3 linked regions of the Oryctolagus cuniculus genome follow. Each later gene encodes a partner of the first gene's protein in a complex. Links are inferred from orthologs where the notes say so. Each region holds a gene or a part of one and is shown on either strand. Other genes may lie near its edges. The genes, in order: LIMS1, RSU1 and PARVA.

Region 1 (3,394 bases):
TTTGGAGTGTGATCATTATCAGCTACCTTTGCTGTGTCTCTGGCGTGTTTCCCAGAGCATGAGGTGACGTCATCTCAGAATCGGATTCCTTCCTCCTTTATGGTGATAGAAACTGCTCCTGACTGACCCAAAGACCTGTTGGAGTTGCCAGTTCATGGAGGCTTTCAGACCACGTTTATTAGGGCTATGAGGAAGGCGCTCGAGCCCCGCCCGTGCTGTGACCTGGTGGTTCGCGGCCCGTGTTGCTAGGACTTCCCACCCTGCACGGCAGTAACCAGGCTGGGCTGGCTGCACTGCCGCGGGAAGGAAGCAGCTGTGTGTGCTCAGTCATGAGCACAGTTCTGCCCGAGACTTCCTGGCAGAGTTTGAAACAATCCTGTTTTCAGTGCGCCTCCTGGTTCTCAGCAGACCTCACCCAACCCAGGAAGTGCGTCCCGAAACACTGCACAGGTGCGGCTTGTGAGAAGGTCAGTGCAGGAAAACCGTCTGCAGTGCCGCGGAGGATAAAACTCGGCTCGCTCCTGCAGAGGCAGTGGAGAGGTGAAGGGAGCCTTCAAGGAAGCGCTTTTCTCATGTTAGCTTTAGAGGAAAGGTCCCTGCCAACAATTTCATGTCTGGATTTTCCTAAAAATACAGACTCTGCAGACTCTGTTGGACCAGTGGCAGCAGGGACTGCGACGTGACTGAGTGATGGTCTAAGGTGCCGTGCAAGGAAAGCTCTTCTGAGTGGCACCGTGCATGTGGGTGGGGCTCCCTTGTCCGCAGGGCGGGGGGGACAAGGTGGCGGACACATATATGTACCTCACAGGATGCCTAAGGGGAAAGTCGGCAATCACATTGACAAGCCCATAATAATCTGCTCTAAATGGATGCCTGAAGTCAGTGAAGACATAAGTGTTTGGGGTACGTGTGTACGTGTCTCTGTGTGTGTGTGTGTGTGTGTGTGTGTGTTTTAAAGAAAATGATGTGAAAAAAAAAGTTCAAGAAATGGGTTGATTCAGTGCACTTCCGTTAATGACCCCGAGATTTTAGCTCTGTGAGTCTCTTGAGAGAAAATCTCTCAAGAAAGAGATTCTTGAGTGCCTCCTCCAAGCGCAGCTGGCAATGGCCATGGCTCCCGGAGTTGAACATGCAAGCTCCCGCTCTCCATGGCAGTGTCTTCCAGTGACCAGGTCTCTCTGCTCTTTCTCTAGTGGTCTCTGCTCTTAACAAGGCCTGGTGCGTGAACTGCTTTGCCTGTTCCACCTGCAACACTAAGCTAACACTCAAGTAAGTCGATGGCTGGTCCCAGGTGAATCCTGAGACTGAAAACTTTGGGAAGACATTTTTTTAAAAACTACTCCTAGAATTAAAAAACGTTGTTTAATCTGTTTCTCCTTTCTCTTCAGCCCTTCTGAAAGTAAAGGTTCTTCCTTTAACTGTTTGCTATTCTTTCTTCTGTTCCTTCTTTGTCCTACTCAAAGGGATAAATTTGTTGAAATTGATCTAAAGCCAGTCTGCAAACACTGTTATGAGAAAATGCCAGAAGAATTTAAGAGGCGACTTGCCAGACGGGAGAGAGAAGCAAAGGATAAGGACAAGCAGAAAAAGAAAAAGCCAGTCTGTTTGTAAACTTTTCTATCCCTTCTGTCATCATTTTTGCTACTTTCCTCTTTGGTTAGTCCTTCAGAATGTGTTTTTTGTTCTGTTTCTTTCGCTTTTTTTTTCTTTTTGGTCTGTATGTGCAGCCGTCAGAGACCGGAATTCCAGGATCTGCCCTTTTGCATGACTATGAACATGGTGACACTTTGGCTGAGGTCTGCACTGATCACCAGCTGTGCTCATGTCTTTCCCTCGGCCTGTACACTCACTCGCCTTTCATTTATTTATTTATTTTTAATTACAATACATCAGAGAGGACTTTTCTTTCAAGGGGAAGAATTCCTGTCTCTTAACAGAGAGTAGGAGAAGTTTTAAAATATTTTAGTCTAATAACACAGCTTTTAGAGTCCTGGTCTTTGGTTTTTTGGCTGAAGACATTTAACTGATAAATCGTAAATATTGTTTGATGTTTTAAAAAAGTGCATGTGTTTGAAGTTCTGTATTCTTTCAGCATGTTTTGTATCCAAGCCAAGTCCTATCTCATTGTCGTACATACCTACTCTTACGGTGTTGCTATATGTCCCTTCACACAGTGCCTATATGCCACTGTTTATGAATTCATTTCCTTGATGTCTTCAAACTCTCTTGTTCCTGGTATTTTTTAAAAAACACTTATTTATATATTTGAAAGGCAGAGTTAGAGAGAAGAAAAGGTGGGAGGGAGGAACATTTTCCATCTACTGGTTCACTCCCCAAATGGCCACAACAGCCTAGGCTGCCCCAGTTGGAAGGCAGGAGCCAGGGTCTCCCACATGGGTGGCAGGGATCCAAGTACTTGGGCCATCTTCTGCTGCTATCCCATTTGTCCATTAGTAGGAAGCTGGATTAGACGTGGAGCAGCTGGGACTCAAGCAGGCATTCCAGGAGGGGATGCTGGTGTCACAAGCAGTGCATTAACTCACTGTACCACAACGCCAGCCCTGAAGAATGCATGAAAGCTTGGACCAGACGTATTAGATGACAGTGTACCTCTGAACGTTTCCACAAACTCTCCCTAAGTGCAATTTCACAGACAATGAACAAGTTATAAAATGTGTATTTAGTTCAAAACTAAAGGGTCTGAATTCCAGCAGTGCTAACTCACTGTGCTTTCCTGCTGGAAGTGCATTACAGATGCGGCTGAGATGGGCTGTCTTCCCCAGGACAGCTTGGTCAGATGCGGCTGAGATGGGCTGTCTTCCCCAGGACAGCTTGGTCAGATGCGGCTGAGATGGGCTGTCTTCCCCAGGACAGCTTGGTCAGATGCGGTGAGATGGGCTGTCTTCCCCAGGACAGCTTGGTCAGATGCATTCAAAGTGTGTATTGCTCTGCTTTAAAGAGCGGGTGGAGCAGGTGTCAGAGGCCACGGTGCAGGCGCCACGTGGGATTCCCACATCCCACACGGGCGTGCTTGGGTTCAGGTCCTGATTCCACTTGCTCAAGTACTGGGGTCCTTGCCTCCCCTGGGAGAGACCTGGCCTGAGGGACTTTGTGCTGGCCCAGCCCTAGGTGTTGCAGGGGTTCCTTAACGTGCTCTCATGGCCCTTAGATTGTGGTTTACTCTACTTCCTAAATTATGTCTACATTGGGTTTCTCTTTACTTAGCACTGAGTGAAACGTAATGTAAATTATTATTCTGTGTTACACAGATAAGCGATCCCATTGTTAGGGGACAGTTTTTAATACTATGAATTTTTTTACGTTTACCACAGAAAGAATTTAAGGTTGGAATTACAGTTCTTTACTAACAGGAATGTAGATGCTACCATATAGT
Region 2 (3,646 bases), on another chromosome or scaffold:
TTTGTACATCGTGGTCACCATATTTATAGTTAATAACAATATATGTTGTCTTTCTAAAGAGAGTGGATTTTAAGTGTCCTCACCACCAGAACATGATCAAATATATGAGGTAATACAAATGTTAGGTTTGATTTAGCCTCTCCACAATGTATATATAAATCAAAATGCTATATTGCATACCATTCATATATACAATTTAGACTTGCCAATTAAAATAAAAGTTTAAAAATTTCACACAAAGTAACTCTACAGTCACAAAGCACTGTGTTATGTATTCCGCCCATGAGATAGAGGTGATCCCAGTATATATTTTGTGTGTGATGACCGGCTTTTCCCCCCAACAACAGCATGAATAGGCTGAATACTCTGCCTCGAGGATTTGGCTCCCTACCAGCTCTTGAAGTCCTGGACTTGACTTACAACAACTTGAATGAAAATTCTCTTCCTGGAAACTTCTTCTACCTTAGTAAGAAACTTTTAATTCTATAAATCTCTTTAACGTGGTACTTTGCGTTCTAAGAGTGAAATTTATTTGCCAGGCCCAAACGCTAAGAGAAATGATTGGATATATATTTTTTTCTTCACAGCTTCCATTTGAATATTCCTTCATAGCTCAGCAGTATGTATGTTTGATATATGGGTGTGTGACACCATGGGGCTGAAGTGGACTTAGTAATGTCATACTCACTTTCTGTGGGAGATTATGTATCTAAATGAGAGCAAGTCTCACATTTAGTTAAGAAACTTGACTTTCTTTTTAAAGAGCATGCCAAAAAGAAGCTTTCCCATGTTGCTAAAAAGCTTTGTAGATTGGCCCTGAGATATTATAATCAATTAATTATAAAACTATCCATTAATAAACTGCTATTGGAATTTTAAAAATTTTCTAGTCAAGATTCTTATTTTAAGTATATAAGTACTCTCATTGATTTAGTCTATATTGTCCAGGACACGATTCAAAAAATAAAAAGAACACACTTCATCATTCATGGGCAAGTGAATGTCTTGCTGTTGATGCTCCTCATCATTAAGAATAACTAATTTTCCAGGAATTCATGAGATATTTCAGAAAGAGTTAATTCTTTTAAATGAATATTCTACTTCTCTAAATAGTGACGTATATGACATCTAGAAATTTCTAATTTTCTGAGCTAGTCTCTAAAATTACCTGTGTAATTTTTATCTGAGTACATTCTCTCTGTACCTATGTTTTTAACCTGTGTCTGTTATCTCTCCCAGACTTTGTCAAGCATATGAAACCAACTCTAAAATATTTTCTTGAGCCATAGTATAAAAACTGCCTTTGCTATGTATATTACATACAGCTGTGTTGAATTTTCAACCAGCAGAATTACTTAAATATCTGTAAACAAATTAAACAAAAGTATACAACTACTTTTACTTCCCATTTTGGGTTGAGATCAATGTTCTGCCCCCCCACCAGCAGGTTGAGATCATGTTAGTAACACATAATGTTTTGAACAAAGTGACTCCTTATATTCTGCTGAACTTTGGCTTTACTCTGTTTACCTGATACCATTATTTTATTCCCTTTGTCTTAATATATTTTGTCATTAAGGCTGTAGAATTATATAATAATAATTAATCTGTTTACAGAAATGTTGGACTGTGAGGATGGCTTAAATAAGCACCCAGCAAAACTTTTCATTTATATATTTAGTTCTAACACTGGTTCTGTATACATAAGAAAGTTTTATTTTAACATAGTTCTGTTTACATGAAAGAGCCCTTTTGCTGTAGGGACTGCTGTAAGATTTGTGAATGCAAATGGAGTCAGAGATGTGAATGCGAAGTAATAGGGAAAAGTAGCCATCTTTTCTTAAAATGCGTTCAAACTCTTTGCCAAAAACTGCCGCTGCCCATGGTTGTTAATTGTGTCAGTCCTCCTGGATATAGATGTTTTCCTGGCTATACCAGCAACACAATAAGCCAGTAAATCTAAGTTTGACCTGCTTGTTATTATTGTGAGCCCTAGGTATGTCAGAGGCTTTTCACCAAGCCAGGGTTATTAATCAAAGCTGACTCCCTAGTATTGATCAGACCTCAAATGGTTGGGTTCCATGCCACCCTGTTTATATATTGCTGTTTAATTTGCAGCCACCCTGCGTGCACTCTATCTAAGTGACAACGATTTTGAAATCCTGCCAGCAGATATTGGGAAGCTCACAAAGTTGCAGATAGTAAGTAATTTATCTAAATTCTTAGAAAATCAATTCACTTCTACAGCCCTTGTAGGAGTAGAATCAAGTCAATTTGGGCAGGAGTAAGGTTGGTTTTGCAGGAATAAACCACAACTCCTGCTACTGCTTCTTGTTTAGCCGCAGACACTTGTAAATAAATTGAAAGGCTTGAGCCTCCGAAGAGGCAGAGGAGAGGGCTAGGGAGAGGACGGGAGTTTCTGTTGAGCACCTCTTTATGTGAAATTGTTTTGACAACTCCTTCTTTTCTTGTATTCAGCTCAGCCTTAGGGATAACGACCTGATCTCGCTGCCTAAAGAAATCGGGGAACTTACGCAGCTTAAGGAACTCCACATTCAGGGGAACCGCCTGACTGTTCTGCCCCCAGAATTAGGTAAGGCTGGCTGCCGGTGAATGATCTTAGGTCTGGGTGTAATTAATGATGATCATCCAAGTGCAGTGATTGTGACAAGCTCTCTCCTCGTCCTGGCACATACCCTCCACCTAGGCATCCGATTCTGATCATTTTAAGAGCGTTTGTCATGGACCAGCATTCAGTTGTTTTGCCTTTGACCTGCCTGGGTGCTGGGTTCTGCAGTTGTGCATCCAGCATCTCAGAAACTGCAGCTGAAAGCTGCCCAGCCCAGCTCCCTGCTCAGTTCCGTTGCCTAGCACTTCATGAAGAAAAAGCAGTCCCCTGATTTCCTGGGACAAATGGGAAACTTGACCTCCAGTTGTCCCATTTAGGTTAGTTCTCTGCTGGTGTTCAGAGTCCAGAGGGCTTTATTCTATGATTTTAAGGACTGAGGAGTAACTCTACATCTTCTCTTCATTGAGCTACAAGGGTTAAGTTTTTTGACTTTGGGAGCTGGGTACAGGATCAAGAAAAACTCTTTTGCAAAAAAAATTTTGAGACAAATAACTTCTTGTCAAAGAACAGATTTTGTACAGTGATTGTTAGCCACAGGTGTTAGCATTAGTGATACTTGGGGAGCTTTTGCCAAATACAAGTGCCTGTCCCCATCCCAACCCTATGAGTCAATTCCTCCATGCGTAAGACAAATTCTCACGTAGTTTGATAAAGTCCATTTAATGCCTCTCACCTGTGCCTTTGGTTAGTGTGGTTGGTAGAAATGGAAAAATACATGTGTCTTTGTTGCTGTTTCACTTTTCAAGCAATGAGGCAATGCAGAATATTAAACAGTTATTATCAGTTAGTAATTTGTTAGAAAAATACCTTCCAGAATCTACATATGCCTGTGTATACATTTTAAAAACTTACATCACTTCTGTTATTTAAATACTGTATGTAGTCATATTTCTCTGACATTTCTTTTAAGCTCTCCAATAGTAAAGTATATATTTTTATTCAGGAATAGAATAAAAGGAAAAGTCTTTCAGTGTTTTTGCTAGCTGTGCCTGGAGAAACGTAGTCTTCACATTTCTC
Region 3 (4,421 bases), on another chromosome or scaffold:
CTGGGCTGATCCAAAGCCAGGATCCAGGAACTTCTTCCGGGTCTCCCATGTGTGTGCAGGAGCCTAAGGACTTGGGCCATCTTCTACTGCTTTCCCCGGGGCGCATTAGCAGGGAGCTGGATCAGAAGTGGAGCAGCCAGGACTCGAAGAGGCTGGGGCTTTAAACTACTGAGCTACAGCGCCTGCCCCAATAAATCTTTTTTAAAACTATGCTTTTATTTGGCTTCTCACTATCTCTTTAAGATCTTTGGGGAGCGGGGCAGAGGCTTATGGCAGTCCTCCCAGGCCAGCAGACATCAGGACTTCTCTGCTTTCTACCAAGTCAAAGGGAGCAACAAAAGTCTCATTTTCCAAAAAGGTAAAATTATGACGCTGCAGCACAGATAAGATGAACCTGTACCCTGCCGAGAATCTACAGACCATCTGGTTAAATTTCAGCTGCTGCACAGTTTGCTGATTGGCTCCAGTTAAGGTGGAGGGGGTTATCAGACTGCTTTATTCGCATCTCCTGGGAAGGAAGCACAGCTGATCTCTGGGACCTGCAAGTGGGGGCTGGGAAGAGACTCCGGATCCAGGTGGCTGCTCCCCGCAGTTTTCCATTACTGGCTGGGATCGCAAGGCTTCCGGAGCTTTCTTTCCTCCACGCTTTTGTTTCTCTACTCATCAGCATGCATGTGCTAAGAGCAGCCCAGCTTTGAACCTCAGCCTGGTGCTCGGATTCCAGATTGGGGCCACCTGACTGGCTGTCAGGCAGGTGTTCCCTGTGGGTCAGGTGTTCACCCAGATTCCATCAGCTGTAGCTACGGGGCAAGAGCCACGAGGAAGAGACGCGGTTGCCCAGGGGGCTGTGTGTGAAAGGCAGACACTGAGAGTCCCACTGAGAACTCAAGATGAGCAAGCACAAGCTTGTGCCTTTGAATCATTTCCAGGATGAGTCCCGAGCGCTGTGTTGTGTCACTCCCCATCACTGTTCTTTTTGTTCAGGCGGGATAAGAGGGGGTGGGGTCGTGGAATTCACAGGAGTCCATACTTGAGCCTTTTCCATTCCCGTTTCCACCCACATGTGGGACCCTTCTTTGTACAAGCTGTTGAAGTGCTAGAAACCCAGATTTCTTGCAAGAACGAGCACCTTGACCCTCCTCTCATGAGCCTCACTTGTAGGTGGACGGCCACGGCTGCGTGCCGGAGTGGCTGTCCGTGTTCGGTGGGCAAAAGCTACGGGACTCATAGCCACGCGGGAAGTGGGGACCCAGCCCCAGGCCAGCTTCGGTGCAGCTCCCAAGGTGTGCCGGGGAGCGTGCTGGACGCAAAGCCCTCGCCGCCTGCAGGCTTACACGGGCCCACGCATACACTTAACAGATGAGGCCACTTGCCCCACGGGGGGCGAATTAGGGGCGTCCTCCCCTCCCCGGGCAGCCCTGGGACACGGGCAGCGCCTTCCCGGGCGGAGGGCGGCGCGAGGGAGGGAGCGAGGGAAGGGAAAGGCGAGCGTGAGCTGCTTCGAATGCTTGGAATAATTCCGCTTCCGTTTGGGAAGCCGCAGCCTCAGTCCCGCCGCCGCCGCCCGCCGCGTCCGCTCAGCTCCAGCGCCGCGTCCCGCCCGGCCCGCGGCTGCCCGCTCCGCCGCCATGGCCACCTCCCCGCAGAAGTCCCCCTCTGCCCCCAAGTCCCCCACTCCCAAGTCGCCCCCGTCCCGCAAGAAAGATGACTCCTTCCTGGGGAAACTCGGGGGCACCCTGGCCCGGAGGAAGAAAGCCAAGGAGGGTGAGTGCGGCCGAGCCGGGGAGAGCTGCGCGGGTCGGGGCCCGGAGGAGCCGGGGCTCCGGGGCCGGGCGGGAGCGCGCGGCGGGTGCCCGGCGTGGTGGGGCGCGCGCTCGCTTCCCGGGAGCGGCGGGCGGGAGAGCGAGGCGCACCCCGCACCGCGGCCCCGCGGGCGCCTAGCCACGGCCGCCCGGCGCTGCCTTCCCGGGCAGGCGCCCCTGCGGGGCCGCGGACGCGCGCCGCGTGGCAGACAGCGGGAGGCGGCGGGACGCGGAGCCCAGGCCTGGACTCGGCTCGTAGGCTGCTGCTGCCGCCGCCGCTAGGCCCGTGTCTCCGCCCTCTCCGCGCCCCAAAGCTGGCATTTCCCAAGTTTCCGCTGAAACTTTTCCTGGGCGCCGTCACGCTCGCGCTCTGCCTTCATTGGTCTGCAATCTGGCCGTTTCCTGTGGAGTCCTCTTGCAGCAGCCTGGCGGCTCTGGCCCCCGCGGCCCTGTCGTCCATCCCTAGGCCTGCGTTGGTGCGGGGGATTAGTTAGCATCGGTCGTTTGCTGAATGAATGCGTGGAGAACTGGCAGTCCTAGCGGTCCCCCGGTGTAGTAATGATAAACTCTCATCCGGGGAAATCACAACAGGCGTGAATTGAGGCGATCGTAATTTTTTTTTCCACAATAATTTGCATGTAATGCATTTTGTCTCGCGGGTGGATTTAGCATCCTGGTCGTGGTTTGGAAAATAAGGCAGCGGTTCTCATGAAGGCGGTTAGTGACAGGTGTGTGGCTATGAGATGCAGGGTTAGGAAGCGTGTTTTATAGACTGCTCATGGACAGGAAATAACCTCTTGGAAAGCTTTGATGCTGACATGTAAAGTAAGTTTTATGTTCTTGAGGTACCTTAAAGCGTGAAAACTTTAATGCTGAGATTGAACCCAGGTCGACCTGAAGAACTGGATTTCTATTCTCTAGACCGAAGGAGGAAGCAGTAAAACACTACTGGTTACAGTAGTCCTTGTAAACCTACCTGCGTCCAAGACCCCCAGTAGATGGAGGAAACCGTACATAGCACTGAACCCCGGATATATACTGTGTTTTCCTATACAGGCATACCTTTGATGACATTTAACTTAAAAAGAGGTTAGCACCAGTAGATGCCACAATTGTAACAATGTTGTAATACATGCTATGTAACCTGGTCTGTCTCTCATCCTCTTGCTTGGTGTGGTTATGTGAGGGGCTGCAATGCGTGTGTGATGATATCAAGTGAGGTGAATGACACAGGCGTGGGGATAGAGCGTCAGGCTTCTGCAGAAGGGTAATTGGAACACAAGCACTGCGTCGACCTCACGACAGTGGATCTGATGACCTTGATGACGGCTAAGCGACTAATAAGTGGGTACCTTATACATAACAGATACGCTGGATAGGAGGATGACTCATGTCCCAAGTGGGACAGAGAGGGGCAGCCCGAGATTCTGTCACAGTATGTAGAATGACATGCAACATAAAACGTGTGAACTGTTTCTGGAATTTTCCAGCTTGTAAGACTGAAGCCTTGGAAAGTGCATGCTCCTATTTTGGTAACCTGTTGAGTAGTATACAGTTGGTGGCAAATCGTGAAATCCTGGCTTGAAAGCCTCTCTCTGAACTGTCCTTCCAGGTTTTTCCTCCAGTTTTCTTGTATAGGCTCATCCTGCTTACGAGTAGACTTAAGAATTATTGAAACTTAGATGTACCATGAATACTCACCCCATCTTGACCAGTTCTATAGGAAAATTGACTTTCTATTTAGCCAAACGTTGATCTCTCTGTACTACTGTTAGTGGGGCCAGGAGAATAGAAAGAACCTCGTGATGGCCTTTCATCTTTTTAAAGTAGACTAGCCTGCTTTCTGGAGTCTTCCCTTAACCAAGCAAACAGCCTCTGCTCTTATAGTTATCCTCAAAGAATGGATGTGGTTTATAAGGCCCTCTGGTATGCTGCCTCTTCAGTTGGAATCAAGGTCACTGCAGGAAGCAAAAGGCCAATATAGTTGGGATTTTGGAAATAATTTAGTGAAGAGACTGTTGACCTAGCTGTGGGCAGGGTTAAGGGAACCAAGAAGGGAGGCTGCTACACCTGTGGGCCAGCAATAGGTAGGAGCTGTTCCCACTCCTGGTCCCAAGGGGCAAGTGAAGCCAACTGGAACCTGGAGGAGGTTGGAGTCCTGGAAGAGAGGCTGCCTGCCAGAAGCTGTCATTGTAGGGGGACTTAGCCATGATCAGAAATGTGCAGGTGGAGCAGAGTGGCACAAGAAATGCAGATTCTTGTGGTGTGGTGGGTAAAGCCGCCCTCTGTGGCACCGGCATCCCATATGGGCACCGGTTCAAGTCCTGGCTGCTCCACTTCCGATCCAGCTCCCTGCTAATGCACCTGGGAAAGCAGCAGCAGATGGCACAAGTGCTTGGGCCCCTGTACTCATGTGAAGCTCCTGGCTTTGGTCTGGCCTAGCTCTGGCTGATGTGACCATTTGGGGAGTGAACCAGCAGATAAGATCTCTCTCCCTCTTTGTCTCTCTATAACTCTGCCTTTAAAATAAACAAAAATCTTTAAAAAAAGCTGCTGGAGAAGATGTGGGGGAAAAAGGGACACTAACCCACTGTTGGTGGGAATGCAAATTGGTTAAGC

What was found.
Region 2: the proteins of LIMS1 (region 1) and RSU1 are in contact, whole or in part, in a crystal structure (PDB 7LT9), measured with the Homo sapiens proteins. The link is inferred for Oryctolagus cuniculus from reciprocal best matches to the Homo sapiens genes LIMS1 and RSU1. Residues at the interface, in NP_001180417.1 of Homo sapiens: Cys252, Phe253, His254, Cys255, Asn256, Leu267, Asn268, Lys269, Ser279, Thr280, Cys281, Asn282, Thr283, Glu293, Phe294, Asp295, Met296, Lys297, Cys303, Lys306, Phe307, Pro308, Glu310, Leu311, Arg314, Leu315, Lys317, Leu318, Ala319; in NP_036557.1 of Homo sapiens: Asp21, Ser23, Asp24, Gln44, Val46, Ser48, His49, Val67, Asn69, Phe71, Asn72, His90, Asn92, Met95, Glu112, Asp115, Thr117, Tyr118, Arg137, Ala138, Tyr140, Ser142, Asp143, Ile161, Ser163, Arg165, Asp166, Glu184, His186, Gln188.
Region 3: LIMS1 (region 1) and PARVA share a complex: the UniProt entries of both Homo sapiens proteins name them as parts of the heterotrimeric IPP (ILK-PINCH-PARVIN) complex. The link is inferred for Oryctolagus cuniculus from reciprocal best matches to the Homo sapiens genes LIMS1 and PARVA.

What each region holds. Positions count from the first base shown.
Region 1 is NC_091433.1:100,134,619-100,138,012, reverse strand, and holds part of LIMS1 (LIM and senescent cell antigen-like-containing domain protein 1), read left to right. Parts: intron 1-1,193; coding exon 1,194-1,269; intron 1,270-1,463; coding exon 1,464-1,611; 3' UTR 1,612-1,656; intron 1,657-3,394. UniProt on the Homo sapiens protein: Within the IPP (ILK-PINCH-PARVIN) complex, binds to F-actin, promoting F-actin bundling, a process required to generate force for actin cytoskeleton reorganization and subsequent dynamic cell adhesion events such as cell spreading and migration.
Region 2 is NC_091444.1:42,899,938-42,903,583, reverse strand, and holds part of RSU1 (ras suppressor protein 1), read left to right. Parts: intron 1-347; coding exon 348-466; intron 467-2,118; coding exon 2,119-2,201; intron 2,202-2,478; coding exon 2,479-2,593; intron 2,594-3,646. UniProt on the Homo sapiens protein: Potentially plays a role in the Ras signal transduction pathway. Capable of suppressing v-Ras transformation in vitro.
Region 3 is NC_091432.1:53,885,764-53,890,184, reverse strand, and holds the start of PARVA (alpha-parvin), read left to right. Parts: upstream 1-1,517; 5' UTR 1,518-1,628; coding exon 1,629-1,764; intron 1,765-4,421. UniProt on the Homo sapiens protein: Plays a role in sarcomere organization and in smooth muscle cell contraction. Required for normal development of the embryonic cardiovascular system, and for normal septation of the heart outflow tract.